Linked DNA regions of Macaca mulatta. The protein of the gene in region 6 interacts with the protein of the main gene of each other region in a biochemical or structural test. Links are inferred from orthologs where the notes say so. Each region holds a gene or a part of one and is shown on either strand. Other genes may lie near its edges. The genes, in order: DOCK1, ERBB3, ARHGAP32, BCAR1, MAP4K1, CRK and ABL2.

The links.
Region 1: the proteins of CRK (region 6) and DOCK1 form a complex in vitro, tested with the Homo sapiens proteins (3 studies listed by BioGRID and IntAct, with this or other methods). The link is inferred for Macaca mulatta from reciprocal best matches to the Homo sapiens genes CRK and DOCK1.
Region 2: the proteins of CRK (region 6) and ERBB3 form a complex in vitro, tested with the Homo sapiens proteins (2 studies listed by BioGRID and IntAct, with this or other methods). The link is inferred for Macaca mulatta from reciprocal best matches to the Homo sapiens genes CRK and ERBB3.
Region 3: the proteins of CRK (region 6) and ARHGAP32 form a complex in vitro, tested with the Homo sapiens proteins (2 studies listed by BioGRID and IntAct, with this or other methods). The link is inferred for Macaca mulatta from reciprocal best matches to the Homo sapiens genes CRK and ARHGAP32.
Region 4: the proteins of CRK (region 6) and BCAR1 form a complex in vitro, tested with the Homo sapiens proteins (2 studies listed by BioGRID, with this or other methods). The link is inferred for Macaca mulatta from reciprocal best matches to the Homo sapiens genes CRK and BCAR1.
Region 5: the proteins of CRK (region 6) and MAP4K1 form a complex in vitro, tested with the Homo sapiens proteins (2 studies listed by BioGRID). The link is inferred for Macaca mulatta from reciprocal best matches to the Homo sapiens genes CRK and MAP4K1.
Region 7: of the proteins of CRK (region 6) and ABL2, one has a biochemical effect on the other in vitro, tested with the Homo sapiens proteins (2 studies listed by BioGRID and IntAct, with this or other methods). The link is inferred for Macaca mulatta from reciprocal best matches to the Homo sapiens genes CRK and ABL2.

Annotation. Positions count from the first base shown.
Region 1 is NC_133414.1:139,493,807-139,498,054, reverse strand, and holds part of DOCK1 (dedicator of cytokinesis protein 1), read right to left. Parts: intron 1,383-4,248; coding exon 1,229-1,382; intron 1-1,228. UniProt on the Homo sapiens protein: Involved in cytoskeletal rearrangements required for phagocytosis of apoptotic cells and cell motility. Along with DOCK1, mediates CRK/CRKL regulation of epithelial and endothelial cell spreading and migration on type IV collagen.
Region 2 is NC_133416.1:63,241,340-63,245,587, forward strand, and holds part of ERBB3 (receptor tyrosine-protein kinase erbB-3), read left to right. Parts: intron 1-1,753; coding exon 1,754-1,827; intron 1,828-1,989; coding exon 1,990-2,080; intron 2,081-2,327; coding exon 2,328-2,533; intron 2,534-2,746; coding exon 2,747-2,879; intron 2,880-3,064; coding exon 3,065-3,155; intron 3,156-3,381; coding exon 3,382-3,536; intron 3,537-4,248. UniProt on the Homo sapiens protein: Tyrosine-protein kinase that plays an essential role as cell surface receptor for neuregulins.
Region 3 is NC_133419.1:129,332,662-129,336,909, reverse strand, and holds part of ARHGAP32 (rho GTPase-activating protein 32), read left to right. Parts: intron 1-239; coding exon 240-1,282; intron 1,283-2,594; coding exon 2,595-4,248. UniProt on the Homo sapiens protein: GTPase-activating protein (GAP) promoting GTP hydrolysis on RHOA, CDC42 and RAC1 small GTPases. May be involved in the differentiation of neuronal cells during the formation of neurite extensions.
Region 4 is NC_133425.1:70,566,252-70,570,499, reverse strand, and holds part of BCAR1 (breast cancer anti-estrogen resistance protein 1), read left to right. Parts: intron 1-1,970; coding exon 1,971-2,132; intron 2,133-2,308; coding exon 2,309-2,425; intron 2,426-3,187; coding exon 3,188-4,248. UniProt on the Homo sapiens protein: Docking protein which plays a central coordinating role for tyrosine kinase-based signaling related to cell adhesion. Implicated in induction of cell migration and cell branching. Involved in the BCAR3-mediated inhibition of TGFB signaling.
Region 5 is NC_133424.1:49,705,996-49,710,763, forward strand, and holds the start of MAP4K1 (mitogen-activated protein kinase kinase kinase kinase 1), read right to left. Parts: upstream 3,351-4,768; 5' UTR 2,154-3,350; coding exon 2,055-2,153; intron 1,884-2,054; coding exon 1,826-1,883; intron 1,706-1,825; coding exon 1,615-1,705; intron 507-1,614; coding exon 442-506; intron 1-441. Other genes in the region: EIF3K (eukaryotic translation initiation factor 3 subunit K), read left to right, coding at 3,539-3,597, 4,606-4,704. UniProt on the Homo sapiens protein: Serine/threonine-protein kinase, which plays a role in the response to environmental stress. Appears to act upstream of the JUN N-terminal pathway.
Region 6 is NC_133421.1:2,969,843-2,973,203, reverse strand, and holds part of CRK (adapter molecule crk), read left to right. Parts: intron 1-2,060; coding exon 2,061-2,198; 3' UTR 2,199-3,361. UniProt on the Homo sapiens protein: Involved in cell branching and adhesion mediated by BCAR1-CRK-RAPGEF1 signaling and activation of RAP1.
Region 7 is NC_133406.1:36,527,556-36,531,803, reverse strand, and holds part of ABL2 (tyrosine-protein kinase ABL2), read left to right. Parts: intron 1-189; coding exon 190-462; intron 463-1,788; coding exon 1,789-1,873; intron 1,874-3,285; coding exon 3,286-3,463; intron 3,464-4,248. UniProt on the Homo sapiens protein: Non-receptor tyrosine-protein kinase that plays an ABL1-overlapping role in key processes linked to cell growth and survival such as cytoskeleton remodeling in response to extracellular stimuli, cell motility and adhesion and receptor endocytosis.

The DNA.
Region 1 (4,248 bases), on a different chromosome or scaffold from region 6:
TGTAAGGATGTGAAGATGCACCCTCCAAAGACATATCCAGTGCCCAGAAAGCTCTCCGCCTACTCAATTAAACTCACGCATCCGCTCCTGGAGCCAGCCTCCCCACCCACTGACAGTCTCCAAAATCATGACTGCTCCCCTTTCAGCAAGAGGAAAATCAGGAGCAGAGGACAATCACTCACTGCCTTGCACAACCCTCGCCACAGGGCATGGAGCTCTCCTGCCTGGGACCCATCTCTGTGCCACAGGAAGGAAGCAGAGTGGGCTCCCCAGTTCTGCTGCCATCCTCACCCCCAGCACCTTCTCCCTGCCAAGATTTCTCCTCTCTGCTGGCTCTGAATCCAGTGGTGAAAAGCTGTCTACCACTTAGAGTAAGTTGAGTAGAGTCTTTCCAAAATGCAGACCTCTTAGGGCCACCCAGAACCTCAGAATGTGTCTTATTTGGATTTAGGGTCTTTGCAGATGTCATCAGCGAAGGATCTCAAGGTGAGATCATCCTGGATTTGCAGTGGACCCTGTATCCAATGACTGCCGTCCTTCTAAGAGGAGAGGACACAGAGAAGGAGGCCACGTGAAGACAGGGGCAGAGAGGGGAGTGATGTGGCCACAGCCAAGGAGGGCTAGGGACTGCTGGGAGCCACCAGAAGCTGGAGGGAAGCCTGGGACAGGCTCTCCCTTGGAGCCACCAGAGGGAACCAACTTGGTACCTCCTTGATTTCAGAGTTCTGGCCTCCAAAACCTTCAGAGAACAGATTTCTGCTGTTTGGAGCCACTAGTTTTGTGGCAACTTCTAGGGTAATTTAAACATTGGTCAAAACTAGAAAAATAAGCTGTGCCCCTTAGCTGTTGCCAACTGCCTGGAGGTGCTTCTCCAGTGCACAGTCCTAGACACAAGCAGGCCCACGGCCTCCTGCAGCTCTGTGTCCTGGGATAGGAAGTGGGGCAGTTCCATGTGCCTCACAGGTCCCCTCCACATGGACCTTGGGACAAACCCTGCACTTTCTGCCCCTCCAGTGCTGGAGACCTGGGCTCTGAGTTTTGGCCTGATTTGCGGAAGTCCAGACTCTACAGCCTGTTCCAAGGGACACTCCCAGGAAGCCAGGTGTTTATCTGAACTCTCACCCTCTGCTGCAAAGGGAGGCAGGAAGCGCTTCTAACCTCAGAGCCTTCAGCCAGGGGAAGTCACAGAGCTATAGCACGATACTTATGTGGGGACTGTTCTACTTACTTGACTGCATGCTGAAGCTGAGCTTGGCCCTTGGTGTAACCGGAGGAGGTGTTTGCTGGCAGGACGGTGATGAGGGGGACACTGAGAAGCGCCTTTCGCTTCCAATGACGTTGATCACCTGGCTCTTCGGTCTCTGGGGCCGCAGTGGACTTATCTACATTGAAAGGAGAGAAAGAGCACAGTTAGGGTCTGTTATGGGCCGAGCTGCATTTTCACCTAAATTCCTATGTTGAAGTCCTGACCCCCATTACCTTAGAATATGACCTTAACTGGAAATAGGGTCTTTGCAAATGATCAAGCTGAGGTGTGGCCTGTTAGTGGGCAGATTGTAAGACATGAACAGGAAAGGTAGACGGGGGAGGAAACTCTGGAAAATCTCATGCCCCAGAGACCCCCACGAAACACACATGCTAGGTGTGAGCAGAGGGGAGGGGAATACCTAGGCAGGAGGGAGCGCCCTGAAACACCCCATAAGACACCCAGTAATTGCTCCCTCTGCAGCTAACCTGTTACAATGTAGCTGGCTACATGCTGATCAGGAGGGAAACAGGGCAAGGGGTTAATTCCTAAGAGACACACTCGCACAGTATGTACAGATTTGACCGCAATACGACCTTCTTGGGGTGGTGGTAATGAGCAATGCTGCCATTAGGTAGGATTCCTATTGATCACTGAGCCCGAGTGTGCACATCAACTAGCAGCAAGGGAAAGTCCCACAAACCTGGGCGGGAACTAGGCAGGGAAAAGGTGGAGACTTAAGACAGCTGGGAAAATACACGAAGACAAAGGGAGAGGCTTAAGACAGAGGTGGGAGCTTAAATCAGTCCAGTATAAAAACCACAACACAGAACTCCCAGGGGCTGCTCTCCACAGGGTCAGCCTGCTCCTCTCCTGGAGTCTATGCTACTTTTATTTCCTTAATAAGCCTGCTTTACCTACTTTACTAATTTCCCTACTTTACTAATTGGTCTCTTGGCTGAATTCTGTCCTCTAAGACTAAGAATCAAGGACCTGCACACTTCCCAGTAACAGGTCCTAATCCAATAGGACATGTGACCTTATGAAAAAGGGAAGTTTGGACATGGACACGTGTTCCGTGGCAGAATTATTCCCAGGTGTGCTCAGCATGCTTTGGTCTCTTTGGTGTGTACCTGAAAGTCTAGGAACTGGCTGAAGGATTTTTGCTATTCCTTTCCTTTGCTGCTTCTCACATCCTAGGTCATTACCGGGCAGGGATTCTTTTTCTCTCCTTTTCAATGCATTTTTTCCTGCTCATCTCTGGCTTTTGGAGGCACTTGACTTTCCCCCACCGAAGCCCTTTCCCTGTTTGTTCCATCAGTAAGTTGTATGTATGTATTTCTTACAGGTTGCTCATCAGGCTTTGGGGAACAGGAGCAGTGACAGAATACTCTGAGGCAGGAGTAATTAGAAAACTTATTAACCCAGCCAAAAAGGAGGGGTCAAGGTTCTCCCCCAAGGAAGGGCAGGCAGGTGAGTGGGCAGCTCCGGCTTGGTGCTAGGTCTGGGGGCCTGGCGGATGGGCTGTGCTGGTTTGGGTGAGCAACAGAGCAGGTAGGCTTCAATGTCTGCCCCAGGAGGAGTCAGCCGAGCCAGGGCCAGTCTGGGGGTTACTGAGGCTGGAAGGAGGAAATGGGAACCAGGCTTGGGAGGAAGATTCAGGCCCTCTGGCAAATGAGTGACAGAGCCAGGCCAACAGGTCTATTTCCAGAACTATACTGTGCTGTCAGGGGAGCCAAGTGCCCAGGAGCTGCACCTCCTCTGAAGAAATGGCCTTGTTCCAGGCAGCAGAACTGCCGTGGGAAGTCGGGAAAGGCTGGGTGAAGTGCTGGGCCCTCTGAAGGCGAATGTGCTGGCAAGAGAGATTTGGGATCTGCTAAGGTGCTTCTCCTGGCTTCCCTGCATCCCAGGGCGGGCACATTCTGATTCAGAGAGCGTGAGGAGGCTGGCCTGCTGTGATGCAAATTGCAGCCTGGAGGCTCTGGCTGGAGAGGCTCAGCTAAAGGTCAGGAAATTGTTGATGATGCAAATCAAGTAGGAAACCAAACCCAGCCCCAGGGGTGAGGAGGGAAAACCTTGGCAGAAGCTGGGGTGCAGGGGAGGCCAGCATGGGGGAAGGGCAAGGAGGACACTACAGTAGGGGTAAGCGGGGGTGGGGGGTGGGGAGGGTGGCTGGTGTTGTCCCCAGGGAATGGGTTGCTACTTCTGCTCCTGTGAACCTCCTCCCCACCTCCCCTGCAGCATGGCTGGTCACAGGCACGCAGTCGCCTGCTGGGAAACTTCAGGTGTCTGACTGTCCTCACAGACCTTGCCGGCACCCGTCCCCTGGAGGAGGTGGCCTCTGTGTAGACAGACAGGTTGCTGGGCTGGACCAAGAATAGGAAGCCTGTCCCCAGTGGGAGGTTCAGATGCCCTGCCTCCTGGTGCTGGAAGGCTCAAGCTGACACTGGGCCAGATGCTGAGAAGTGCCACCAATGTTCTGTGCTCTGACCCTGCTGAGTTCCTGCGGATTTGCTGAGGGTGCTACGGACAACCGTGGGGAAGCAGCCCTTGTGGTGCTGCCCCTAGCCCTGCTGTTTGCAAGGATCCTAGAAGGATGCTTGGGCCACCACAGGCAGGGACAGAAAATGCACTGTGCTGGCTCTGTGCCTGTCACGTGTGTGCTTGTGTCTTTGGACTTTTCACACAAGTCAGCTGTGATCAATCCTGCCACTTGGCACAACTTCTCTGAGGCCTCCAATTTAGCATCTTAAAACGGAGCTTAAATTAAAATGTATGAAAGACTTGCATAGTGTCTGGCACTAAGTAATATTCAAAAATGCTTCTGTTCATTCCACTACCCAGCTACGATGTTTTGAGACTTGAGAAATCTACCTGGGGCTTGAGAGAAGGAGACTTCAGCCAACCTCTGGGGTGGTGGGCATCCCAACTTCCGAGAATAGCAGACAGAGCACGCTGTGTGGTCAGGACCCCCTCAATCTGCTGGAGGCTGAGCGTCTGGG
Region 2 (4,248 bases), on a different chromosome or scaffold from region 6:
AACATGGTGAAATGCCATCTCTACTAAAAATACAAAAATTAGCTGGGTGTAGTGGCGCATGTGCCTGTAATCCCAGCTACTCGGGAGACTGAGGCACAAGAATCACTTGAACCCAGGAGGTGGAAATTGCAGTGAGCCGAGATTACACCACTGCACTCCAGACTGGCAACAGAGCGAGACTCCGTCTCAAAAAAAAAAAAAATTTCTGTCTCCCTGTGACTTTTAGATGTTTTCACTCATTCTGCTCCTTGGAGCAGCAGAACAAAGGGACTTTCTAGTCTGTAGGACAGCACTTAAAATATATGTGTGTGTGTCTGTGTGTGTATGTGTGTGTGTGTCAGAAAAAGAGAGGGAAAAAAACACTATAACCACCTGTTTTTTTTTCCTTTAATTTTTTATTTTGACATAATTTTAGATCTACACTGAAGTTGCAAGAATGGTGTAAAATTCCCCATATACTTTTTTTTTTTTTTTAATTGAGACAGAGTCTCAACTCTGTCGCCCAGGCTGGAGTGCAGTGGTGCCATCTCGGCTCACTGCAAGCTCCGCCTCCCGGGTTCACGCCATTCTCCTGCCTCAGCCTACTGAGTAGCTGGGACTACAGGCGCCCACCTCCACGCCCGGCTAATTTTTTTGTATTTTTAGTAGAGACGGGGTTTCACCGTGTTAGCCAGGATGATCTTCATCTCCTGATCTCATGATCCGCCCGCCTCGGCCTCCCAAAGTGCTGGGATCACAGGCGTGAACCACCATGCCTGGCCTCTTTTTTTTTTTTTTTTTTTTAAGACAGAGTCTCACTCTCTTTCCCAGGCTGGAGTGCAGTGGTGCAGTCTTTGGGTCACTGCAACCTCTGCCTCCCGGTTTCAGGCAATTCTCCTGCCTCAGTCTTCCGAGTAGCTGGAATTATAGGCATGTGCCACCATGCCCGGCTAATTTTTGTATTTTTAGTAGAGACAGGGTTTCACCATGTAGGCCAGGCTGGTCTCGAACTCCTGACCTCAAGTGATCCACCCGCCCCTGCTTCCCAAAGTGCTGGGATTACAAGCGTGAGCCACCACGTCCGGCCCCCCATATACTGTTTTACCCAGATCCTCCAAATGTTAACATACCACATGTGGCTGGATGCAGTGGCTCATGCCTGTAATCCCAGCACTTTGGGAGGCCTAGGCAGGTGGATCACTAGGTGTGGATCACGAGGTCAAGAGATCGATCGAGACCATCCTGGCCAACATGGTGAAACCCCATATCTACTAAAAATACAAAAATTAACTGGGCGTGGTGGTGCACTCGTAGTCCCAGTTACTGAGGAGACTGAGGCAGGAGAATTGCTTGAACCCAGGAGTCGGAGGCTGCAGTGAGCCGAGATTGCTGCCACTGCACTCCAGCCTGGGCGATAGAGCAAGACTCTGTCTCGAAAAAAAAAAAAAGTCTTCCTTTCCTATTTATTTACTCTTATGGATACTTATTTTATTCTAGTCAATGGTTATGATCTTTTACAATCATCATTTATTTTAGCCAGCCCCTCCAAGCTGGCTCCTGTGTTCTTTGGGCTGTACCCTTAATTCTTTGAGTCTTTTCTTGTCTGCACAAGATGCTCTAGGCTCATATAGTTCCCCCATCCCAGCCATTTCTCCAAGGAATGTTTCCTTTTAGTGGAGAATGATATTTAGAAACCAAATTCTGAGGCTTGGTGTGCTCACTGCCACTGAATTATACCTTTACCTTATTGACTGGTTTCTACTGTTCTACTCAGAGACCCCTGGCACAAGATCCCTGCCCTGGACCCAGAGAAGCTCAATGTCTTCCGGACAGTACGGGAGATCACAGGTGAGTGGTAGAGAGTTTGGCCTTTCTAGAATAGACGAACCACTGGCATAAATTGCGGTATAACTACTTGAGAAAATCATGTCCCAAGTTACAGGGGAGGAGCTAGGAGAACCCAAGAAAGATGAAGTCTGCCTGCCCATATGCCTCTCTCCAACCCCTCAGGTTACCTGAACATCCAGTCCTGGCCACCCCACATGTACAACTTCAGTGTTTTTTCCAACTTGACAACCATTGGAGGCAGAAGCCTCTACAAGTGAGTAAAGACTATGGCAGAAGTGGCATCTTCAGGCATTCTTGAGTAAAATACAAGGCACCGTCTCATACAGCAGTACCTCAATACCAAAGGGTTTCAGAGTTTCATGAGGAAAAGGCAAAAGGAGGGGGATTCCCTCTCAGTGGATCTGACTAGCACTGAGCAAATTTCTTGACTAACATGATTCCATTGAATAGTTAATGTTCCCTTAGTAGTCTCTCCTCTCATCCTGTCTCCTTATTCTCAGCCGGGGCTTCTCATTGTTGATCATGAAGAACTTGAATGTCACATCTCTGGGCTTCCGATCCCTGAAGGAAATTAGTGCTGGGCGTATCTATATAAGTGCCAATAGGCAGCTCTGCTACCACCACTCTTTGAACTGGACCAAGGTGCTTCGGGGGCCTACAGAAGAGCGACTAGACATCAAGCATAATCGTCCGCGTAGAGACTGCGGTGAGGGAAAGGGTCTGCTGGGTGGTGAGAATAGGGAGTCAGGGAGGAGAGAGCTGAAAGGACTATTCTGCCCTAGACATGGGAGTAGGGTTGAGGGATGGAACCAAGGAGAAAGGGGCTGTTAGGCCGGAAGCAGTAACGAGGAAGAATAATGAAGAGAGGGCTTGCTGGGAGTCCTCAGACTCCTCTCCTAACCCACCCCTTCCTTTCCAGTGGCAGAGGGCAAAGTGTGTGACCCACTGTGCTCCTCTGGGGGATGCTGGGGCCCAGGCCCTGGTCAGTGCTTGTCCTGTCGAAACTACAGCCGAGGAGGTGTCTGTGTGACCCACTGCAACTTTCTGAATGGGTACAGTGAGGGGAGCCAGTCAAGGATGGGTGGGGTTGGGGCACTGCCATGGAACTGTTCAGGTGGCATATAATAAAAGCCTTTAGACAGCTTTCTGCATATGCCTTGGTGGGAGTGAGGTAGGAGACCAGGTCATGAAGGTCAGGACTTGGAAGTGACCCCTCTCCCTTTATTCCCCACTGCAGGGAGCCTCGAGAGTTTGCCCATGAGGCTGAATGCTTCTCCTGCCACCCGGAATGCCAACCCATGGAGGGCACTGCCACATGCAATGGCTCGGTATAGTAGCAGCACCAGGATCTCCAAGGGAGACACTCCAAGGGAGACAGAGAAGGGGCAATACTTGGAGCATCTGGGGAATGATATGGCTAAGGATAGTACAGAGAGGCCAGATAATGCTAGGGCCTGCAGATAGAAGATCCTGAATGTCTGGGTTGGTTTTTGCTGGGAGGTATGGAATTGACCTTGGGATCTGATTCTTCCTGACCTTCTCTCTTCCACTCAGGGCTCTGATACTTGTGCTCAATGTGCCCATTTTCGAGATGGGCCCCACTGTGTGAGCAGCTGCCCCCATGGAGTCCTAGGTGCCAAGGGCCCCATCTACAAGTACCCAGATGTTCAGAATGAATGTAGGCCCTGCCATGAGAACTGCACCCAGGGGTGAGTGATGGGATAATAAGGAGAGGGGGTCAGGTGGAAGGGTAGGAGCACAGAACTAGGGTGAGGGAAGCGGAAGCAGAAAGAAGAGAGGCTGTGATTTAAGAATCTCTCCCAGCTGGCCGAGTGCAGGAGCTCACACCTGTAATCCCAGCACTTTGGGAGGCCAAAGCAGGTGGATCACCTGAGATAGGGAGTTTGAGACCAGCCTGACCAATATGGAGAAACCCCGTCTCTACTAAAAATATAAAATTAGCTGGGCGTGGTGGCGCATGCCTGTAATTCCAGCTGCGTGGGAGGCTGAGGCAGGAGAATTGCTTGAACCCAAGAGGCGGAGGTTGCGGTGAGCCGAGATCACATCATTGCACTCTAGCCTGGGCAACAAGAGTGAAACTCCGTCTCAAAAAAAAAAAAAAAAAAAAAAAGAGAAAAAAAAAAGAATCACTCCCAGCTGTGTAGCGAAGGATTGGAGAAAGGGAAAATCAGTAACAACACAAAATTACACCACGGTTTTGGGAACATGGAATAACCTCAGTTCAAGAGGGTTTCACTGAAGAGGGGCTTGGGGAGAGCTAGTAAGCTGGGGGTGGAGGCCATGTCTTGGGATCAGCTTTGGGCTCCAGGATGGGATGCCATGGTAAGTTCTAAAACAAGCTTTTGTATGTTGAGGCTGTTGAAATTGAGCCTCTGTTGTCCAAGCTCTCATTTAAGGTAG
Region 3 (4,248 bases), on a different chromosome or scaffold from region 6:
CATCTCTGTAGCAATTCAAGAAGAGATTGCGGTCTTTATACACGGTTTGTTTTAGTTTTCCTTCTGCACCAGATGTGTTTTCTACAGCATTTGCATGTGGGATAGAAGATCATGGATTGCCATTTTGAAATATGGAAGGCACCTATTTTTTAGTGATCACATGGGGAGTGTTTGGCTTTCCATTTAGGATAACGTAAGCTACCTTTTCACTCTCATTTTTTTTCCCAATTTCCCACTAGGAGCAGTTACCCATGACCCCCCTCAGGATTCCGTTCCTGTCAGTTCAGTCTCTCTTATCCCACCACCACCGCCTCCGAAAAATGTTGCCCGAATGTTGGCGCTAGCATTAGCTGAGTCCGCACAGCAAGCCTCAACTCAGTCATTGAAGAGACCAGGGACCTCTCAGGCTGGGTATACAAATTATGGAGATATAGCGGTGGCTACAACTGAAGATAATCTGCCCAGTTCTTACTCTGCAGTTGCTCTAGATAAGGCCTATTTTCAAACCGATCGACCAGCAGAGCAGTTTCACCTCCAGAATAACGCACCAGGAAACTGTGACCATCCTCTACCAGAGACAACAGCTGTTGGGGATCCTACCCATTCCAACACAACTGAATCTGGGGAGCAATATCACCAAGTAGACTTAACAGGGAATCAGCCACATCAAACATATTTATCTGGGGACCCAGAAAAGGCCAGAATTACTTCAGTTCCCTTAGACTCAGAGAAGTCGGATGATCTTATAAGTTTCCCTGAAGACCAGTCTGGGAAGAACAGTATGCCAGCTGTCTCCTTCTTGGATCAGGACCAGTCTCCACCCCGTTTCTACAGTGGAGATCACCCTCCTTCTTATCTTGGTGCAAGTGTGGATAAACCCCATCACCCTTTAGAATTTGCAGACAAATCTCCCACGCCTCCTAATTTACCTAGGGATAAAATCTTCCTTCCTTCTGGGTCCCTTGCAGACAAATCACCCACACCTCCTAATTTACCTAGGGATAAAATCTATCCTTCTGGGTCCCCCGAAGAGAATACCAGCACAGCCACCATGACGTACATGACAACTACTCCAGCAACAGCCCAAATGAGCACCAAGGAAGTCAGCTGGGATGTGGCTGAACAACCCACCACTGCTGATTTTGCTGCTGCCACCCTTCAGCGCACACACAGAACTAATCGTCCCCTTCCCCCTCCACCTTCCCAGAGATCTGCAGAGCAGCCACCAGTTGTGGGGCAGGTACAAGCAGCAACCAATATAGGATTAAATAATTCCCACAAGGTAAGAAGGGGAAGATATCAGTGAGATGAAATATACTATTACCAAAGGTATGTCACTTTTCAGCAGGGTGTGTTGTTACCTTTGAGTCAGACACAACAATTGCTTTTAAGCCCTATGGCTGGTTTCCATGAAATAATTCCCATTTGAGGTTGGAGCCTGCCGTTACCTTGATGCTGGCTTTTCCCGAGAAAAGGGAGTAGCTCCTCCATGACTATAGCTTAACTGTACCTGCTCCCTTTTCTTCTAAAGTGTCTTGGTAGTTTATTCCTAGTAACACAATAAACTAGTAAAACACTAGTTTATTCCTAGTAACACTTAGTAAGACAAAGTGGGCTTTAAGGTTGTGAGTTTTTTTTTTTTTTTTTTTTTTATTCCAACTCCATCGCTGACTCATTGTGACTTTGGGCAAGTCATTTACCTACCCTCTGCCAATTATTCACAGTTACACAATGAAAATACTTCATTCTCAAAACATCCGTAGGACTGTCTGCCTTGCAGACTTTTTGCAAGTGTAAGAGATTATAGTACCTTGGGATTTTTGTTACTTTCCTAGCATCCACCAGCAGTTTGTCCCATAGTCAGGCACCTGCTTCAGTGAGAGAATGTAGTATACAGAATGCTAAGGTTTCTTCCTGAATTTCCTCATATTTTAAGAAGGGCCACAGGTTGTTTTTCTTAGTCATCTTGAACTATTAATAGGACCTCAGATTTTAGACCTTAGTGGAGGATGCTGTGTTTACTGCTTCTCAAGGATAGCATGTTTTCAGTATGAGGATTATCTTTGGCCAGACTAAGGTGGAATCAAAGGTAGGGGAGAGGCAGTAGCCTCTGATTTGAATATTGCCTTTCCCTATTTTTGAAGGCCTAAAGCTGCTCAGTGTGTACAACTGTGAATTTCAAAAGTCTCTCCAGATGATAGAATTAACTCTTAATTTAACAAAATGTCCTTGGTGTTGAGACTGAGCTAGACTAAGAGACCGGGTATGTATTTTTAAGCTCTACAGTATTACTTGACTAAACCTCTCTTGGTTTGTATATTAAAATCATGCCATAGGCCACCTCGCCTCGCATTTAAAACCTCTCATAAATTAGAAAACTTTGAATGGTTCTCCAGAGAGAATACTATATTTATACAAAATAGCAGCACCAGCCTTCTTTTCCTATCAGTGGGTACAGATTCATTGCAACCACATGGCTTGGGAAAGTTCAAGTTGCTACCCAACCAGCCTCAATTTGTGAGTTACAAATTTAATAGTACTTGATTCATAGACGGAACAAAAAATAGATGCATAGTATTATGGTCTTTCAATAGGTTCAAGGAGCAGTTCCAGTTCCAGAGAGGCCACCTGAACCTCGAGCCGTGGATGACCCTGCGTCTGCCTTCATCAGTGACAGTGGTGCAGCTGCTGCTCAGTGTCCCATGGCTACAGCTGTCCAGCCAGGCCTGCCTGAGAAAGTGCGGGATGGTGCCCGGGCCCCGCTGCTGCACCTGCGTGCCGAGTCTGTCCCTGCACATCCCTGTGGCTTTCCTACACCACTGCCCCCCACCAGGACGATGGAGAGTAAGATGGCTGCTGCCATACATTCCAGCAGTGCAGATGCCACCAGCAGTTCAAATTATCATTCCTTTGTCACTGCTTCATCCGCCTCTGTGGATGATGCATTGCCTTTACCACTTCCTGTCCCACAACCTAAGCATGCTTCTCAGAAAACAGTTTACTCCTCCTTTGCTAGGCCCGATGTCACCACTGAACCCTTTGGTCCAGAAAACTGTTTGCATTTCAGTATGACTCCAAACTGCCAGTACCGTCCCCAGAGTGTACCTCCACATCACAGTAAATTGGAGCAGCACCAAGTGTATGGTGCCAGGTCAGAGCCACCAGCCTCCATGGGTCTTCGTTATAACACATATGTGGCCCCAGGAAGAAACGCATCTGGACACCATTCCAAGCCATGCAGCCGGATCGAGTATGTGTCGTCTTTGAGCTCCTCTGTTAGGAATACCTGTTACCCTGAAGACATTCCACCATACCCTACCATCCGGAGAGTGCAGTCTCTCCATGCTCCGCCGTCTTCCATGATTCGCTCTGTTCCCATTTCACGGACAGAAGTTCCCCCAGATGATGAGCCAGCCTACTGCCCAAGACCCCTGTACCAATATAAGCCATATCAGTCCTCCCAGGCCCGCTCCGATTATCACGTCACTCAGCTGCAGCCTTACTTTGAGAATGGCCGGGTCCACTACAGGTATAGCCCATATTCCAGTTCTTCTAGTTCCTATTACAGTCCAGATGGGGCCCTGTGTGATGTGGATGCCTATGGCACAGTCCAGTTGAGACCCCTTCACCGCCTTCCCAATCGAGACTTTGCTTTCTACAATCCTAGGCTGCAAGGAAAGAACTTGTACAGTTATGCTGGTTTGCCTCCACGTCCCCGGGCCAACGTGACTGGCTATTTCTCTCCCAACGACCATAATGTAGTCAACATGCCTCCGGCGGCTGATGTGAAGCACACCTACACCTCATGGGATCTTGAGGACATGGAAAAATACCGCATGCAGTCCATCCGGAGAGAGAGCCGTGCTCGGCAGAAGGTGAAAGGGCCTGTCATGTCCCAGTATGATAACATGACCCCGGCCGTGCAGGACGACTTGGGTGGGATCTATGTCATCCATCTGCGTAGTAAATCAGATCCTGGGAAAACTGGACTTCTGTCAGTGGCAGAAGGAAAGGAAGGCCGCCATGCAGCCAAGGCCATCAGTCCCGAGGGAGAGGACCGCTTCTACAGGAGGCATCCCGAGGCAGAGATGGACAGAGCCCACCACCACGGAGGCCATGGTAGCACGCAGCCGGAGAAGCCATCCCTGCCGCAGAAGCAGAGCAGCCTGAGGAGCAGGAAGCTTCCTGACATGGGCTGCAGTCTCCCTGAGCACAGGGCGCACCAGGAAGCAAGCCATAGGCAGTTCT
Region 4 (4,248 bases), on a different chromosome or scaffold from region 6:
GTGTGTCAGAGACCGTGTGGGTGTTATGTCAGTGTCTGTGACTCTGTCCCCTCCTCCTGGGCTCTAGCTGTGTTCCCCTAACCCCCAGGGGACCTCCAGGGCCTGCTGGTGGGGTCTCAGGTGTGTAGCAGGGTGGCCTGTGATTAGCAGCGTCATTCCCCTAATGAGCGTTTTCCGCTGGTGGCTGCCTTGCTCTGTTTTTCTAACAGAAACATTTGGTCACTGTGGCTGCCTACTGCCACCCGACTCAGCTCCAAGAGTGGCAGGCAGCCGTTTGCCTGGGGAGGCTGGCCTGGGTCCAGCTGCGCCCCTGGGCCTCACCGCATGAGGTTGGGACGGCCACCAGCGGGGTGCTCTTGGAGGATGCTCACGCCTCCCTCCTGCTGGTGCTGGGTCCTGGCTGAGCCTTGGGGCTGGGTCCCCACCTGCCTTTGGGAGGCTGGGAGGCCTGGAGAAGCCTTAGGCCGTGCCTCAAGGCCCAGCCAACCTGCCACGTCCCTCCGCCCCGCCTGCACCACTGTTGGCAGGTCCCTGCGTCTAAAAATAGTTCTGGAGGAGACTCAAGTCTGGAGCGCGTGGAGGGAGATGAGTCTGGAGAGGCAGCCGCCAAATCCACTCCCAGACGCACTGGAGGGGGGTGGGGACACCCCGCGGAGGCCCCCAGCCTGTGGGGCTCTGCTACCAGGCGCGCTGGAGACCCACTGGGCCCAGCTCTGCTGCGCTGCGGGGGGCTCTGCCAGGCCTGGGGCTGCTGGGGGGTGCTGGGCGCCTCTGCCGCCCCCATGCCCTGCACCCCCTCACAGCACCCTCAGTGAGCAGGGCTGGCTGCCTGCCTGCATTGGGAGGGCCTCTCGGGGTTCAGGGGCACTGGGCCCGAGGGAGAGGCTGCTTTGGCGCTGCTGCCCTGGGGGATGTGCAGGGAGGCCCTGAGTCAACCCTGTCCCAGACATCCCCTTTGATGAGGGAACAAAAGGTCTTTCAGTGGAGAGAGCTGAACAGGGAGCCTGGTGGTGGAGGCGTGTGGGTGCAGTGTGCCAGGGGCTGGAGAATCCCACCAGGGAGGCCTTGTCCTCCCCAAGGCAGGGAGGCTTTTGGGGAATGAGGCTGCCTGGCATGGCCCCTACCCCCTTCAGGCCATTACTAGTGAGGGGCAGCGTGGTCCTGGGCAGGTGCTTGCGCTGCCTGCCTTGGCCGCCCCGGGCTCTGGACCAGGGTAAGAGAGCCTGGGGAGGGAGGGCTGGCCCTGGACCTGCCTCCCCCACTAAGCCTCATCCTTTCAGGTTGCTGGGGATCTAACCTGCTGCAGGCAGCTCCCCCGGGGCAGGCGCGGCAAGGCAGGGCAGCCTTGGTTCCAGCTGCTGTGGCCCCCAGCACACGCTCAACTTGCCCCTCTGCTCCTGTCCTCCAGAGTCTCCCCATGCTGTGCTGTGGGGCAGGGGGTGCTAGGCTCTGTCTGGTCCTGGGCTGGACGCAGTCCCCTGCTGGGCCAATCCTTCTGAGGAGGCTACAGCTCGGTGGTGTGGGCAGCAGGCTCCAAGGCCTCCGACGTGACCTCTCGTCCCGCGGGGCTGGGCGCCCCAGTCACGGGGGGTTCCTTGCCTGTGGGTAGTGCCCTCCAGAGCCAGGGCCCCAGCCCCTTACCCCACCGGTGTCCCCCACCGTCATCAGCTCACACCCATACTCATCTGTGGAGCCTTCCGGGTCAGCAGGCTGTAGAGATGGTGGTGTCCTGGCCCAGGACCAGGCAGCTCTGAATAAAACCCGGGGTTCTTGCTGTACCCAGCACTACGTTCCGCTGGAGGAAGGTCAGAGGGTGCAGAGTGGGTGAGAACTGGCGTCCTTGGGGAGCCCCGTCCCTTCCACCTGGTGTGCCCTGCCCACCTCCCAAAAGGACGTGGCTCCCAGGTGTGAGTGGAGCCTCCCTGAGGGCCGCTTCGAGGGCAGCAGTGAAGTCAGCTCTCTGCCCCCAGGTGGTGGTGCCCACCCGCGTGGGGCAGGGCTACGTGTATGAGGCCGCCCAGCCGGAGCAGGACGAGTACGACATCCCGCGACACCTGCTGGCCCCGGGGTCACAGGACATCTATGATGTGCCCCCGGTTCGGGGGCTGCTTCCCAGCCAGTATGGCCAGGAGGTAGGTGTGGGGTGCGCAGCAGCGGGAGGGCAGGGCGGCGAGTCTGTGCCTCTGCTTGACCCTGGGCAGGGAGCTGCATCTTCTCAGCCCTGGCCAGGCCTGGGGGCAGCGCCGCGGGGTTTCTGCCTTTCCCGTTCCCCCTGGCGCCATTAACCCTCCACTGTTTCTGCCCCCAGGTGTATGACACGCCCCCCATGGCTGTCAAGGGTCCCAATGGCCGAGACCCGTTGCTGGAGGTGTATGACGTGCCCCCCAGCGTGGAGAAGGGCCTGCCACTGTCCAGCCACCACGCGGTGAGCACATGCCAGGGCCAGGCTGAGACTGTGGGGTGTCTGGGTGTGTGCACTGGGGTGCTGACCAGTGTCTTCAGGGCTCGGGGTGGTGGGCAGGCAGAGACTGGCTCCAGACCCGGGTTCTGCTCCTCACTGGATCATTGATAGAAGAGGAAACCGAGCTCTCTTCTGAGCCTCAGCTGCTTCGTCTGCAGAGCCGCCTGTGGGAAGGCCTTCCCCATGAGCTCCTGAGAGGGTATCTGCAAGGTGACCACAGGGTATGTCCTGTCACCTGAGATACTTCCAAGAGTGAAGGGGGGACTAGTAATTATGTGGGAGCATCAGGGACAAACCAGGACTGTCCGGAGCAAACCAGAATTTGATCCCCTGATAATACCCGCAGAGCTCAGTCACACACGTGCTGCAGAGTGGAAAGTTCACACGTGGTGGTGGTACTGGGTGGTACAGTGGTGGTGGTGGTGATGAAATCATGATATGATGGTGGTGGCAGTGGCAGTATGAGAGCTAACCTTTCAGTGAGTCTGAAGTGACACAATTATGTGAATTAACACGTGTCATTCCTTGAGAGGAAGTTCTCCCACCTTCAGGTTCTAGAGCCGGCTCGTCCCAGAGCTGTCATGGATGGGAATCGTGAAGGATGTGTGTGCCGGGGCTGCGTGTGTGCCTGTGTGTGTGTACATGTGTGTGGCTGGGTGCTGCCCCCAGCCCCTGGGGTGGGCAGATGGACGGATGGACAGCCTTGACTGCCGCTTGTTCCCCCAGGTCTATGACGTTCCTCCATCGGTGAGCAAGGATGTGCCTGATGGCCCGCTGCTCCGTGAGGAGACCTACGATGTGCCCCCCGCCTTCGCTAAGGCCAAGCCCTTTGACCCGGCCCGCACCCCACTGGTCCTGGCTGTGCCCCCTCCAGACTCCCCGCCGGCCGAGGACGTGTATGACGTGCCGCCCCCGGCTCCTGACCTCTACGACGTGCCCCCTGGCTTGCGGCGGCCTGGCCCAGGCACCCTGTATGATGTGCCCCGTGAACGGGTGCTTCCTCCTGAGTTGGCTGATGGTGGCACGGTTGACAACGGTGTGTATGCGGTGCCTCCCCCAGCTGAACGTGAAGCCCCGGCGGATGGCAAGCGCCTTTCGGCCTCCAGCACCAGCAGCACACGTAGCAGCCAGTCCGCATCCTCCTTGGAGGTGGCGGGGCCGGGCCGGGAACCCCTGGAGCTGGAAGTTGCCGTGGAGGCCCTGGCACGGCTGCAGCAGGGTGTGAGCACCACCGTTGCCCACCTTCTGGACCTGGCAGGCAGCGCTGGTGGGACTGGGAGCTGGCGTAACCCCTCTGAGCCGCAGGAGCCGCTGGTGCAGGACCTGCAGGCTGCTGTGGCTGCCGTCCAGAGTGCCGTCCACGAGCTGTTGGAGTTTTCCCGCAGCGCCGTGGGCAATGCTGCCCACACATCTGACCGCACCCTGCATGCCAAGCTTAGCCGGCAACTACAGAAGATGGAGGACGTGCACCAGACGCTGGTGGCACACGGTCAGGCTTTTGACGCTGGCCGGGGAGGCCCTGGAGCCACCCCTGAGGACCTGGACCGGCTGGTGGCCTGCTCGAGGGCTGTGCCCGAGGACGCCAAGCAGCTGGCCTCCTTCCTGCACGGCAATGCCTCACTGCTCTTCAGACGGACCAAGGCCCCCGCTCCGGGGCCCGAGGGGGGTGGCACCCTGCACCCCAACCCCACTGACAAGACCAGCAGCATCCAGTCACGGCCCCTGCCCTCACCCCCTAAGTTCACCTCCCAGGACTCGCCGGATGGGCAGTACGAGAACAGCGAGGG
Region 5 (4,768 bases), on a different chromosome or scaffold from region 6:
CTCCCAAGTAGCTAGGATTACAGGCATCTGCCACCACGCCTGGCTAATTTTTTGTATTTTCAGTAGCGGCGGGGTTTCACCATGTTGGCCAAGCTGGTCTTGAACTCCTGACCTCAGGTGATCCACCTATCTCAGCCTCTCAAAGTGCGGGGATTACAGGCGTGAGCCACCGCACCAGGCCCAGCAGTTATATTTTTAAAAATAATTAAATTAAATTAAATTAAATTAAATTTTAAAAAGCCAGGCACGGTGGCTCAAGCCTGTAATCTCAGCACTTCAGCAGCTGAAGGCAAGAGGATCAGCTCAGCCCAGGAGTTTGAAATACGGCCCAGAAAGACAGTTCCTGTGAGATACACACACACAGACGAAGAGGTGAATTCGGGTCGGGGTTGGGGGGTGGGGGTGGGAGGGTTGCCTGGGTCCCCTTGTGCTTTCTCTAACCTTGGTAGATGTCCTGGAGAGAACCAGCCCCACAGAATTCCATGCAGATCCAGAGCTTCTGCAACCTGCAGTGTTTCAAGGGTAAGAATAATAATAGCAGTAATACATTATTATTTGCAGGAAAGTCCCTGGTTTGCTTCTGTCTTGTTCTAGATCAGTAAGAACTTTAATGTAACAGCTCTCATCACTCCATCTCTCCTTGTCTACCAGAGTGAGGTGGTTTCATTCCCGTTTCACAGACAAGGAAGTTAAGGCTCAGAGAGGAAATGTGAGTTCCGGGGCAAGTCAACTCAAACCTAGACCTTTGGGCGGGACCCCTCTGCCGTCCCACGCCAACCTAGGAGGTAGGGCAGAGATCTCACGGGTTGTGGAGATTTGGAGGGGACAGAGGGGCCCAGGGCATCTGTTCCGGGGAGCAGAGGTCAGTATTGGGACATCTGGAATATTAATTTGGGGATCAGGGAATTTAGAAGTTTATATTAAAGGAACAGAGAGTGGAACTGGGGGAGCCAGAGGGCAGAATGATGAGAGCTTCGTTTCTAGGGAGTTGATTTCCAATTCCGTTACTATGAAGGGATCAGTTTGGGGTACTCTTGATCAGAAATGGGAATTCTGGATTGGAGATTAGATTAGAGGCTGCTCTGGTCAGAAAAGTGGGACTTAGGAGTGAGGATCAGGGTAGGGTTAGCCCAGTCAAAAATGGGGGTCCAGGATGGGAGGCCGGGTTATGGTGAGAAATGGAAGTTCAAGGTTAGAACTCAGGGTGCCAAGGCCAGGCACGGTGGCTCACACCTGTAATCCCAGCACTTTGGGAGGCCAAGGCCAATGGATCACGAGGTCAGGAGTTCAAGACCAGCCTGGCCAAGATGGTGAAACCCCATCTCTACTAAAAATATAAAAATTAGCCGAGTGGGGTGGTGGACGCCTGTAATTCCAGCTACTCGGGGGTCTGAGGCAGAGAATTGCTTGAACACGGGAGGCAGAGGTTGCAGTGAGCCGAGATCATGCCACTGCGCTCCAGTCTGGCAACAGAACAAGACTCCATCTCAAAAAAAATGAAAAAAAATGAAAAAAAAAAAAAAAAAAAAAAGAAATGAGGGTACCCCCATCAAGAAATGGAGGCTCTGCGTTAGGGGCTGGGCTGGGTGCCAGGGTGGGTCTGAGGTTCATCACCAGAGATAACTCCCATGGTAGGCCACGATGTTGGCGTGCCGGCAAGTTTTCAATATGAGGATTTCCTTCTGAAGGGTGGAGACATCATCATCTGTGAGGAGGGTGGGAGAGAAAGGCAGCTCGCATGGAGAGAGCTACGAGGGAGGTGATCCCAGTGTCCCAGGAGGCGAAGGTGGGGATGTGGGGAAGGAGCTCCGGGTTCCCTCCTCACCAGGCTCCATCTTCACCATCTTCAGTGCCACCAGGTCCCCTGTCGCCTTGTCTCGAGCCTTGCAAAGGGGAAGTCGGCAGTCAGGCAGGCTCCATTTGCCAGCGTCCCTCCTCAGCATCCCTGAGTCAAGGTCAAGGACTGGGACCCCCTCTTGCAGCCTCCTCCCTACCGAGGCCTTGCCTTAAAGGCCACTAGTTTGAGGGTGTTGGGGACAGAGGGGCTTTCTCACCTTAAAGACTTCCCCATATGTGCCGCCACCCAGTCGCTGCAGCAGGTCGTAGTGGTCCCGGGGGTCTCTATTGAAAATGTCCGGATCCACGAGGTCCATCCCTGGGGGCCGGAGCTGGGCCTGCGCCCAGGGGCCAGCAGGGCCTCAGGGCTCAAGTTCTGGCACCTCCCTCTGTCCCCAGAAGCCCTGCACCCGCCTTGCCTCCGCGGGCTGTGGCCTCCCTCCTCCCCACTCTCGCTTCCTGCCCCAGCTGCACTGCAGGGCTGTGCAAAGGGCTCCACCCCCTGTCCCCTGGGCGCTGAGAGCCTCTGAGGGGCAGCTTGTCTTGGGACCCAAGGGACCATCCTCAACCTCCAAGGCCCAGGGCTGGATGTAAATGTGATGCAAATGATCTTAATGGTAACTGGATTGGAGGGGGGTGCCTTAGAACCCCCGCCCCCGTCTCCTAGGTAGTGTCTAAACCTCTACTGGGTGCTTGAAGGTTTGGCCACAACCCGAAGGCGGCAAGTCTGCACAAGGATGACTACGCAGTGTACATGCCTGTTCACCTGTCACATACATGCACTTGGGTTACCTCCTGTGCACTGCGCGGGCATGTAGACGTGTAGATGTGCATCTACCTAGATACCTGTGTGCACAGTACACACGTGGAGGTACCCAGCGCATATACCTCCACATACATGGCACATAACTGCATTTTCTACGCTTGCAGTGTACAAAACCTATACATGATATATAATTGATGGCAGTACAGATAGGACCCTCGCCCTCAGCTCCAAGACCGGAACCTAATGGAGACCGGGCGCGATCCGGCGAAGTCCAGGAGCCCTCACCCCAGCCCCTGCCCGGCAGAGCACAATAGCTTTGTGGGACCCTCTTCCTGGAGCTGGGGACCAAGGGCCGAGACTTGAAACTGGATCCTGGGCGCTCAGGATCCTGCACCATGCGCCCAGGCCTGAGGCGAGAGGGACCTCAGAGAACATCTCCCTCGGGACTTGGCCAATGCCTAAACGGAGGGCTGCTGCGTGCATTCCCGCACAGCTCCGGGGACTTATGGCCGCGCGCAATACAACGCGCGCGCACGCCGCCAGAGCTCCGACTGCTTCCCAATGAGTTCGCGCGCGCACGCTCCCGCGCCCCCGGCACTGGAACTGGGTCTGTGAGGCCCGGGAAAAGCTTAGCCCCGCCCCTCGCCGAGAGGCGCCTGCGCACTGGGATACAGTAAGCTTTTTCTCACGCTGTCCGTCCAGCTTGAGTGGAGCGAATGCGCACGCGCTAATTGCCCCTGCGAGGAAGAAGTCACGTGGCAGCCGGAAAGCGTGGCGGCTGCTGCGAGAGCCTGTCCCTTCACCGCCCCCAGGGAGCTGGAGCGACAACAATGACGTCGTTTCCGTTTCCACCACCTCTTCCTTTTCCCGTCCTCGCGGACGCCGTGCCGGGCCGGTATTAGTCTCCAGCCCTGGTTGTGGAAAGCGACAGAAGTCATGGCGATGTTTGAACAGATGAGAGCTAACGTGGGCAAGTTGCTCAAGGGTATCGACAGGTCTGAGCCCGGTCGGAGGGAGCGCTCTGGCCATGCGGGGCGGAGGGGAGGGTTTTCAGGAGGCAGCAGGGGGTGGTCAGGGTCCTGGGCTTGCCGCGGGGTGGGGTTTCTCTATCCTCCTGGAGGAGGAGATGCTTAAAGAAACGCCACTGAGCTGGGGGCGGTGACTCACGCCTGTGATCTCAGCACTTTGGGAGGCCGAGGCAGGCGGGTCGCCTGAGCCCAGGAGTTAGAGACCAGCCTGGGCAACAGTCATACCCCGTCTTTAAAAGAAAGAAAGAAACAGCCCTGCAAAGGCCTAGAAGCGAAAGAATCTTGGTACCGCTCAGTCTCTTCGTGAATTGCCTTAAGGTTTCCTTCTCTGCCCTGCCTCCTTTGAGTGCCTCTGAATCTCTCCCTTCTCTGCTCCTTACGTCATTCATTCACATGTTTATTGAAATAAAGTGTCAGTGCTAAGGCAATGCTGGGAACCACAGGCGAATCAGACAGCGGCAGATCATGCCTTCACGGTCTGAGTTCCCATTCCATGAGGGAGACAAACCTGACATCAGACAGTGATATCTGGGAGAGGTTAGAACCGAAATGGGGGAAGCAAAGGCTAGAGTGTTCAGACGGACATGGGGGAAGTAGGCATCCAGGTAGGCAGGAGAGGATGGGGCTGGATCAGGGTGGAGGCCTGAGCAGGGGAGGAAGGGGTGAGTAACAGAGATGTTCAGGAGGCCAGATGCACAAGCTGCAGTGACTGACTGGCTCAGAGGTTGGGGAGGTATCCTAGGCAAGACCCAGGGCTCCAATGGAGTATAGAGCTTAGGTGAGAGGTCTGGGATATGAATAAGTTTTATTAGAGATTATACTGGACATAATTCACTACCTGGATAGAGCAAGTGGCCAGTGCCAGATTTAGAGGGGAAGGGTGGGAGGAGCAGGTTACAGTTGCCCCTGCAACTGTAAAGTGACTGGCCTCAGCTTCTGTCTCCTGTCTGCTCACCTATCTTGATTCTCCTTTAGGTACAATCCTGAGAACCTGGCCACCCTGGAGCGCTATGTGGAGACGCAGGCCAAGGAAAATGCCTATGATCTGGAAGCCAACCTGGCTGTCCTGAAGCTGTAAGTGTCTGGCTGTCTGTCTACACTCCCATTTCAGCAGCTAGCAGGGTGCCACTCCCAGTAC
Region 6 (3,361 bases):
GGAGCTTGCAGTGAGCTGAGATCCGGCCACTGCACTCCAGCCTGGGCTACAGAGCGAGAGACTCCGTCTCAAAAAATAAAAAAAAATTAAAAAAAAATAAAACCAAATGAACAGAGTATGCCCAGAATTCAAATATTGATACTTAAAGGATGGTCATAAAACTCTTTAGTCCAGTGGCATGGCATCTGAGGCTGTATTTCACCATTCAGCATTTTGCCATGGGGTGAATCCATTCATCAGACTGACCTCTGAAGTTTCATAGCAGGATAGAAATATATCATAGATTGTTAAAACTTTATATTTCGGCCGGGTACAGTGGCTCACGCCTGTAATCCCAGTACTTTGGGAGGCCAAGGTGGGTGACTCACGAGGTCAGGAGATCAAGACCATCTTGGCTAACAAGGTGAAACCCATCTTTACTAAAAATATTTTAAAAATAGCATCCAGGTGTGGTCGCGGGCACCTGTAGTCCCAGCTGCTTGGGAGGCTGAGGCAGGAGAATGGCGTGAACCTAGGAGGCGGAGCTTGCAGTGAGCTGAGATCCCGCCACTGCACTCCAGCCTGGGTGACAGAGCGAGACTCTGTCTCAAAAAAGAAACAAAAAAACAACTTTATATTTCATTTTGCAACGAGACATTTCGTAAATACATGCTGAAATACAGGGGGGTTTTTTGTTTTTGTTTTTTGAGGCAGGGTCTGGCTCTATTGCCCAGGCTGGAATGGAGTGGTGTGATCTCAGCTCACTGCAACCTCTGCCTCCTGGGCTCAAGCAATCCTCCCACCTCAGCCTCCGGAGTAGCTGGGACTGTGAGCGGCCACCACCACACCCAGCTAATGTTTGTATTTTTTGTAGAGATGGGTTTCACCATGTTACTCAGGCTGGTCTCAAACTCTGAGCTGAAGCAATCCATCCACCTGTGTCAGGCTCACCAAGTGCTGGGATTGCAGGCATGAGCCACTGTGCCCAACCATAGTTGGTTTTTTTGACCCCTCATTGGGTAATGATCAGGTAATCAGCAGCATTGAGGGAGCAGCAAGGTCTGTCGAATGGTGGGATTGGGGGGCTGGGCAGGCAGTGGCTTGTCAAGTAGAGCTTGCTTAATGAGGTGGGGGTTTTCTGAGAGCTAATTGGATTTGGAGTTTGGACCTCTACCTGCCCATACGGGAAAAGGCTTGCCTTGGTCAGGAGGTGATGGGAACACTTGATTTTCTAGGACCAAGTGACCTATGCTTGCCATGATCAGTTTCTGCTGTGCAAGCGGTAATAGACCAGGACATGTGTGCGAGTGGGCTGGGGGACTGTGCTGCTGCCGGACGCTAAAGATGGGAGAAGGTGGCCGGGCACCGTGGCTCACGCCTGTAATCCCAGCACTTTGGAAGGCCAAGGCGGGTGGATCACGAGGTCAGGAGTTCAAAACCAGCCTGGCCAAAATGGTGAAACTCCATCTCTACTAAAAATACAAAAATTAGCTGGGCATAGTGGCGGGCACCTGTAGTCCCAGCTACTGTGGAGGCTGAGGCAGGAGAATTGCTTGAACCTGGGAGGCAGAGGTTGCATTGAGCTGAGATCATGCCATTGCACTCCAGCCTGGGCAAGAGAGCAAGACTCCATCTCAAAAAAAAGAAAAAACACAAAAAAAGAAGGGAGAAGGTTGCTTCTCCTCGGACAGGGTCTGCGGAGCAGGTAGAAAGCCGAGGGTAGTGAGTACAAAGAAAGGGAATACTAGCTCACTCACTGAAGTGGGGATTGCTTGTTCAGAGACACTTGAGATTTCCAATAGTTACCACTTTCCTTTTTTAATCAAAAAGTATCATTATCTGGGATCCTGTTTTACTTTCTGTATTCTCTGTTTTTCTGCACTGCTAAAAACACTTCTTCCTTCTGCCTGCATTAACCACAAGGAATCAGTCTGGTGGCTGGGGCTGGGGAGGCAGCAAGGGGCCATTTCTGTCACATCCCTAGAGCAATCACATGGGCAGGGTGTGCTGACCAGAGAACGGAGTTGTGCAGCTGCATTCCTAACTGGAAATAAAGTGCTCTCCTTATTCTCCTCCTGCAGGTCGGTGAGCTGGTAAAGGTTACGAAGATTAATGTGAGTGGTCAGTGGGAAGGGGAGTGTAATGGCAAACGAGGTCACTTCCCATTCACACATGTCCGTCTGCTGGATCAACAGAATCCCGATGAGGACTTCAGCTGAGTATAGCTCAACAGTTTTGCTGACAGATGGGAACAATCTTTTTTTTTTTTCCAGCTGCCATCTATACAGTTTTCTTACAGATGTCAAAAGCAGTCTAGTTTATATAAGCATTCTGTTACCTGTGATCTTTTTTTAGACTGAACTACTCCATTCCTAGTCTTCTGTACCATATTCAGGGTACGAACTGGAGGGCTCGTGTGTTAGCTTCTGAAATTGGCAATTGTAGGAGGTAGTGGCCGTGCCTGTGTGTATCAGAAGGGATAGGTATCTTGCCTCCTTTCTCTCAGGCAATGCAAATCACCCTGTGGAAAACCGATGGACAGGAAGGAGTATTACACACTGCTTACCCTGATTTATTCAGTGGTTTTGTTTTCATTCTGGAACCATACTATCAAATGGCGACAGACTGTTCCCTTCCACCCCCGGGAAGTAATGCACTGTGTGAATAGTATCAAGCAGGACTGCTTTCATTGTATGGAGCATGACCAGCATATGACTCATTCTGACATTTCAGATCCTAAGAATTCTAAGAACACTACTAGAAGCATTTGTTCCTTCCTAGTCGATGCTTCATACTTTTTCTTGGGATTCTTTTAGCCCTTGACATTCTTGTCCCCCAAACCTGTAAGTAGGTTAATTCCTAGGATAAGTGTGTATTTTCATTCCAGGTGAGAAGCAGAATGTACCGAGCACTTTATTCAGTGCATAGCTTTAAGCCAGTGTTGGATTCACTAAGTGGACAGCCAGTCTCCCAGCTCTCTGCCTTCCCCTAAAGGGTCGTAGTAGGTCACCCTTCTACAGCAGTTAACTAGAGTCCTAACTGATGGGATCCAGCAGGGCCATTTCTCTTGAAGGCCAGTATCCTATTAGGAGACTCTTGGAATTCTTAGGTTCTACTCAGAGTGGAAGGACCAATCACCTCTAATATTCTGTGGAAGGTTTTGGGGCCAAATTCTGCCCTCTGCATTCTGTGCAACTTGTATAAAAGTCAAGTTAGTATTACATGAGTTTGGGGTAGGGTTAGTGCTTTGAAAAATGTTGAACTGGCTGGGCGGTAGCTCACGCCTGTAATCCCAGCACTTTGGGAGGCCGAGGCGGGTGGATCACGAGGTCAGGAGTTCGAGACCAGCCTGGCCAACATGGTGAATCCCTATCTCTACTAA
Region 7 (4,248 bases), on a different chromosome or scaffold from region 6:
AGGCAGAAGGATTGCTTGAGGCTGGCGTTTGAGACCTCCCTGGGCAGTATAGTGAGACCTTGTCTGCAGAAAAAAAAAAATTTTTTTTTAAAGATAGCCTCCTATCTTCAGGCCAGTGAAATATGGGCTTTAAAAAAACAATTCTTAATCTCTTTTCAAGTTGTTTAGCTTTTCTGCTTTTCTTACCAGGTATATGTGACTGCTGAGAGCCGCTTCAGCACCTTGGCAGAGCTTGTACACCATCACTCCACAGTGGCTGATGGGCTGGTGACAACATTACACTACCCAGCACCCAAGTGTAATAAGCCTACGGTCTATGGTGTGTCCCCCATCCACGACAAATGGGAAATGGAACGAACGGATATTACCATGAAGCACAAACTTGGGGGCGGTCAGTATGGAGAGGTTTACGTTGGCGTCTGGAAGAAATACAGCCTTACAGTTGCTGTGAAAACATTGAAGGTGGGTTGCTGAGAATTACAGTTTTCAGGCATCTTTTTCTTTTGTGCTCAATCACTTGGAAATATGAGCATGCTCTTCTTTAACTTTGGAACACTTTCCACCCACTGGTGCCAAGCACATCAGCAAATTGTGATGATTAACCCTAGTGCCATTGCTGACAATGCAGAGGTAGATTATTCACTGCAATGCAATGAAACCCACATGTGGGAAAGGTCTGTCTCTGGAGGCTGTTGATGTAGATCTTAGTGGGAGGTTAGAAGCAAATTAAAAGTTATAAAAGCAAAATAAGCTCTTTTGCTTCCTGAGATCGACCCCTGCTGGACAGAATTCTTTGTGCCTTGTCTGAGAATCATGGGCCTCTTTCTTGTTCTGTCCTTCCTCTCCCTTGTTGTTGTTCCTCCTGTCTCTTCGCAGTTAGAGCACTTCTTAACATTCACAGAAATCTTTTTCCTGGTACTACTATATGTCTCCTTTAAACCTCCCAGTATCAAATTATAAGGTTTTCACTCACTTGATTGTCCCAGACCCTCAGTAACTGTCTCTAGTATATCACTCATAAGGGCTATTCTTCAGCTAATAAGTAGTAGTCAGTTCTGTTTCTTAAGCATATTCTGAGTGTAAAGCAATATATAAGGCCTTGCTCTCTAAGAAGATTATGATCTAATCAAGAAGATAAGTATGTAAGCAGCTAAGTGCTAGGTCTCCTCATTCAAAGCCTGAGATATCTGAAGAAATAAATTGTGAGAGAACTGAAGTATCCAATACAGGGCTCCTGTGTTTCAGTTGATTATAGGACATGATTGCTGAATTTTGCTTCTCCTGCTAATTTTTACTCCAGGACATTTTTCTTTCTAAGTTGGACTTCTTAAAATAATAATCATTTCGGCTGGGTGTGGTGGCTTATGCCTGTAGTCCCAGCAATTTGGGAAGCCCAGGCGGGCCGATCACCTGAGGTCAGGAGACCATCCTGGCCAACATGGCAAAACCCCGTCTCTACTAAAAATACAGAAAGTAGCCAGGCATGGTGGTGCATGCCTGTAATCCCAGCTACTTGGGAGGCTGAGCCAGGAGAATCGCTTGAACCCAGGAGGCAGAGGTTGCAGTGAGATCGTACCACTTCATCCCAACCTGGGTAACAGAGTGAGACCCTGTCTCAAAAAAATAAATTGAAATAAAAATTATTTCTTGTAATATGCTAAAATATTCAAAAGATACTTCTTTTTACTGTTAAAGCTGAAGCTTTAGGATTGTGAGATGAATCAAATGATTTTAAGTTGGGGGTTTGTCCCTCTCGTTTTCTTCTTTCTTACCTTTCCCTTTTTCCAGGAAGATACCATGGAGGTAGAAGAGTTCCTAAAAGAAGCCGCAGTAATGAAGGAAATCAAGCATCCTAATCTGGTACAACTTTTAGGTGAGGAACCTTGCCTGAACCATAGATATCCTCCAAAAATGCTTGTCCTGTAACCCCTTCTTATCTCCAAATGCCCTCTTTTTTTTTTTTTTTTTTTTTAGAGACAGGGTCTCACTCTGTTGTCCAGGCTGCTGTTGAAGTGATTTTCCCATGTGGGCCTTTCAGTATGTTGGAATTACAGGCATGAGCCACCATGCCCAGCCTTCCCCCGCTCCCCCAGCCCCAAAGCTTTCTTTTCAGTCACCATGGTGGAAGCTGCAGGTTTAAATCCACTTCCATAAGTACTTATTTTAATCAGTAGGTTCCATGTTTTAAAATGGCCCAAGAAGCAGTGGCCTGATTGATTTTAGTATATAAAACTGCTCAGTTTGTACTAATTGCCCCAGATTCAAAGTTCAGAAGTGTTCAAAATGGTACTGAACCAAAAACTCATGAAATGTTTTTGCAAAATAAAGAGACATTGAAGGACTGTTGAAGCAAATTAAAAACTGTGACCACACCCATCAGTTTACCTTTACAAGCAGGAAATGCTGTACTATGTTAGATTGGCTTTTCACTGTTCAGGTCACAAAGAACTCTTTTACTAAGCTCTTTTACTTTTTAAAAATAGGGCCAGATTTTTTTTTTTTTTTTTTGGATGGGGGGTGTTTTTTGTTGTGGTTTTTTTTTTTTTTGATAGTCTTGCTCTGTCACCCTGGCTGGAGTGCAGTGGCATGATCCTGGCTCACTGCAACCTCTGCCTCCCAGGTTCAAGCTATTCTCGTGCCTCAACGTGCATCACCACACCCAGCTAATTTTTGTAGTAGAGACAGGATTTTGCTATGTTGGCCAGTCAAGTCTTGAACTGCTGGTCTCAAGCGATCTGTCTGCCTCAGCCTCCCAAAGTGCTAGGATTACAGGCGTGAACCACTGCACCCGACCTCTTGTTGGTTTTTTATAAGGAATCTGCCATATATCAGTGAATTCCTTGACTATGGAAACGATGAAAATCATTTTACAAAGCAGTATTACAGGTGGGGCTCACATAGTCTTCAGCATGTGCACAATTGCTATTACTTTTGAGTAAGTATTGTTAGCCTGCAGTTGAGGAGGAGAATCAAAAGTGTACAAAAGTCTGGACATGTTGGTTTTCTTGGCCCCTTATAGAATTAATACAAGCACGCTGCTTTTGCTCAAACAGACAAATACTCAGAGGCATATGAATTCCCAGAGAACAATATAGTGGAAGCAAGGACTCCCATATAAACCAGCTTCTTAATTTTTGCTTATTAATTTCAGAGAATGTGGTGGTAAAAAGGGAAAAGATTACTGCCGAACTAGACCTGAAAAATTGTCAAATTATTCTTGACGAAAGTGGTTTGAAGTGTTTGAATGTACATTAACAAAAACAAGCACTATTCTTCAATTTTTAGGTGTCTGTACTTTGGAGCCACCATTTTACATTGTGACTGAATACATGCCATATGGGAATTTGCTGGATTACCTCCGAGAATGCAACCGAGAAGAGGTGACTGCAGTTGTGCTTCTCTACATGGCCACTCAGATTTCTTCTGCAATGGAGTACTTAGAGAAGAAGAATTTCATCCATAGGTGTGTAAAACTTACCTCTGACTAACCATGAAGCCATCCTGCTTGACATGCAGATAAAAGGAAGAATGTGAGAACCTTCCCAGAAAATTTCGGATGATTCAAGAAAGTAATTTCGTATTTCACAGGGCCCATTATAATGTCACTTCTAACTTGTAAACAAACGTACTGTACTCTGATTAAAGTATTAATAAGGGGCCTTTGCTGTTCTCAAAACTGAGAACTCTCTTTGGAAAAAAAAAAAATTACAATAGTGATGGGGTCTTGCTATGTTGACCAGGCTAGTCTCAAACTACCAGCCTCAAGTGATCTTCCCATCTTAGCCTTCCGAAGTGCTGGGATTATAGGTGTGGGCCACCATGCCTGGCCAGAGAGCTCTCTTTATTTTGCCCAGCACTGTATCCAAGATCCTTTTTCACCATCTAGTGGCTTTTTTTTTTTTCCCCTTCTTGAGACAGTCTGGCTCCATCGCCCAGGCTGGAATGCAGTGATGCAATCTTAGCTTGCTGCACTCTCTGCCTCCTGGGCTCAAGCCATCCTCCCACCTCAGCCTCCTGAGTGGCTGGGACTATAGGAATGTGCCACCATGCCCGGCTAAGTGTTTTTGTTTTGTTTTGTTTTGTTTTTTTGTTTTTTTGTTTTTTTTGTAGACAGGGTTTCCCCATGTTGCCCGGGCTGGTCCTGCACTCTTGAGCTCAGGAGATACACCCACCTTGGCCTCCCAAAGTGCTAGGATTACAAGCATGAGCCACCACACCTGGCCTAGTGGCTGAGTTTTTAAAATAGTT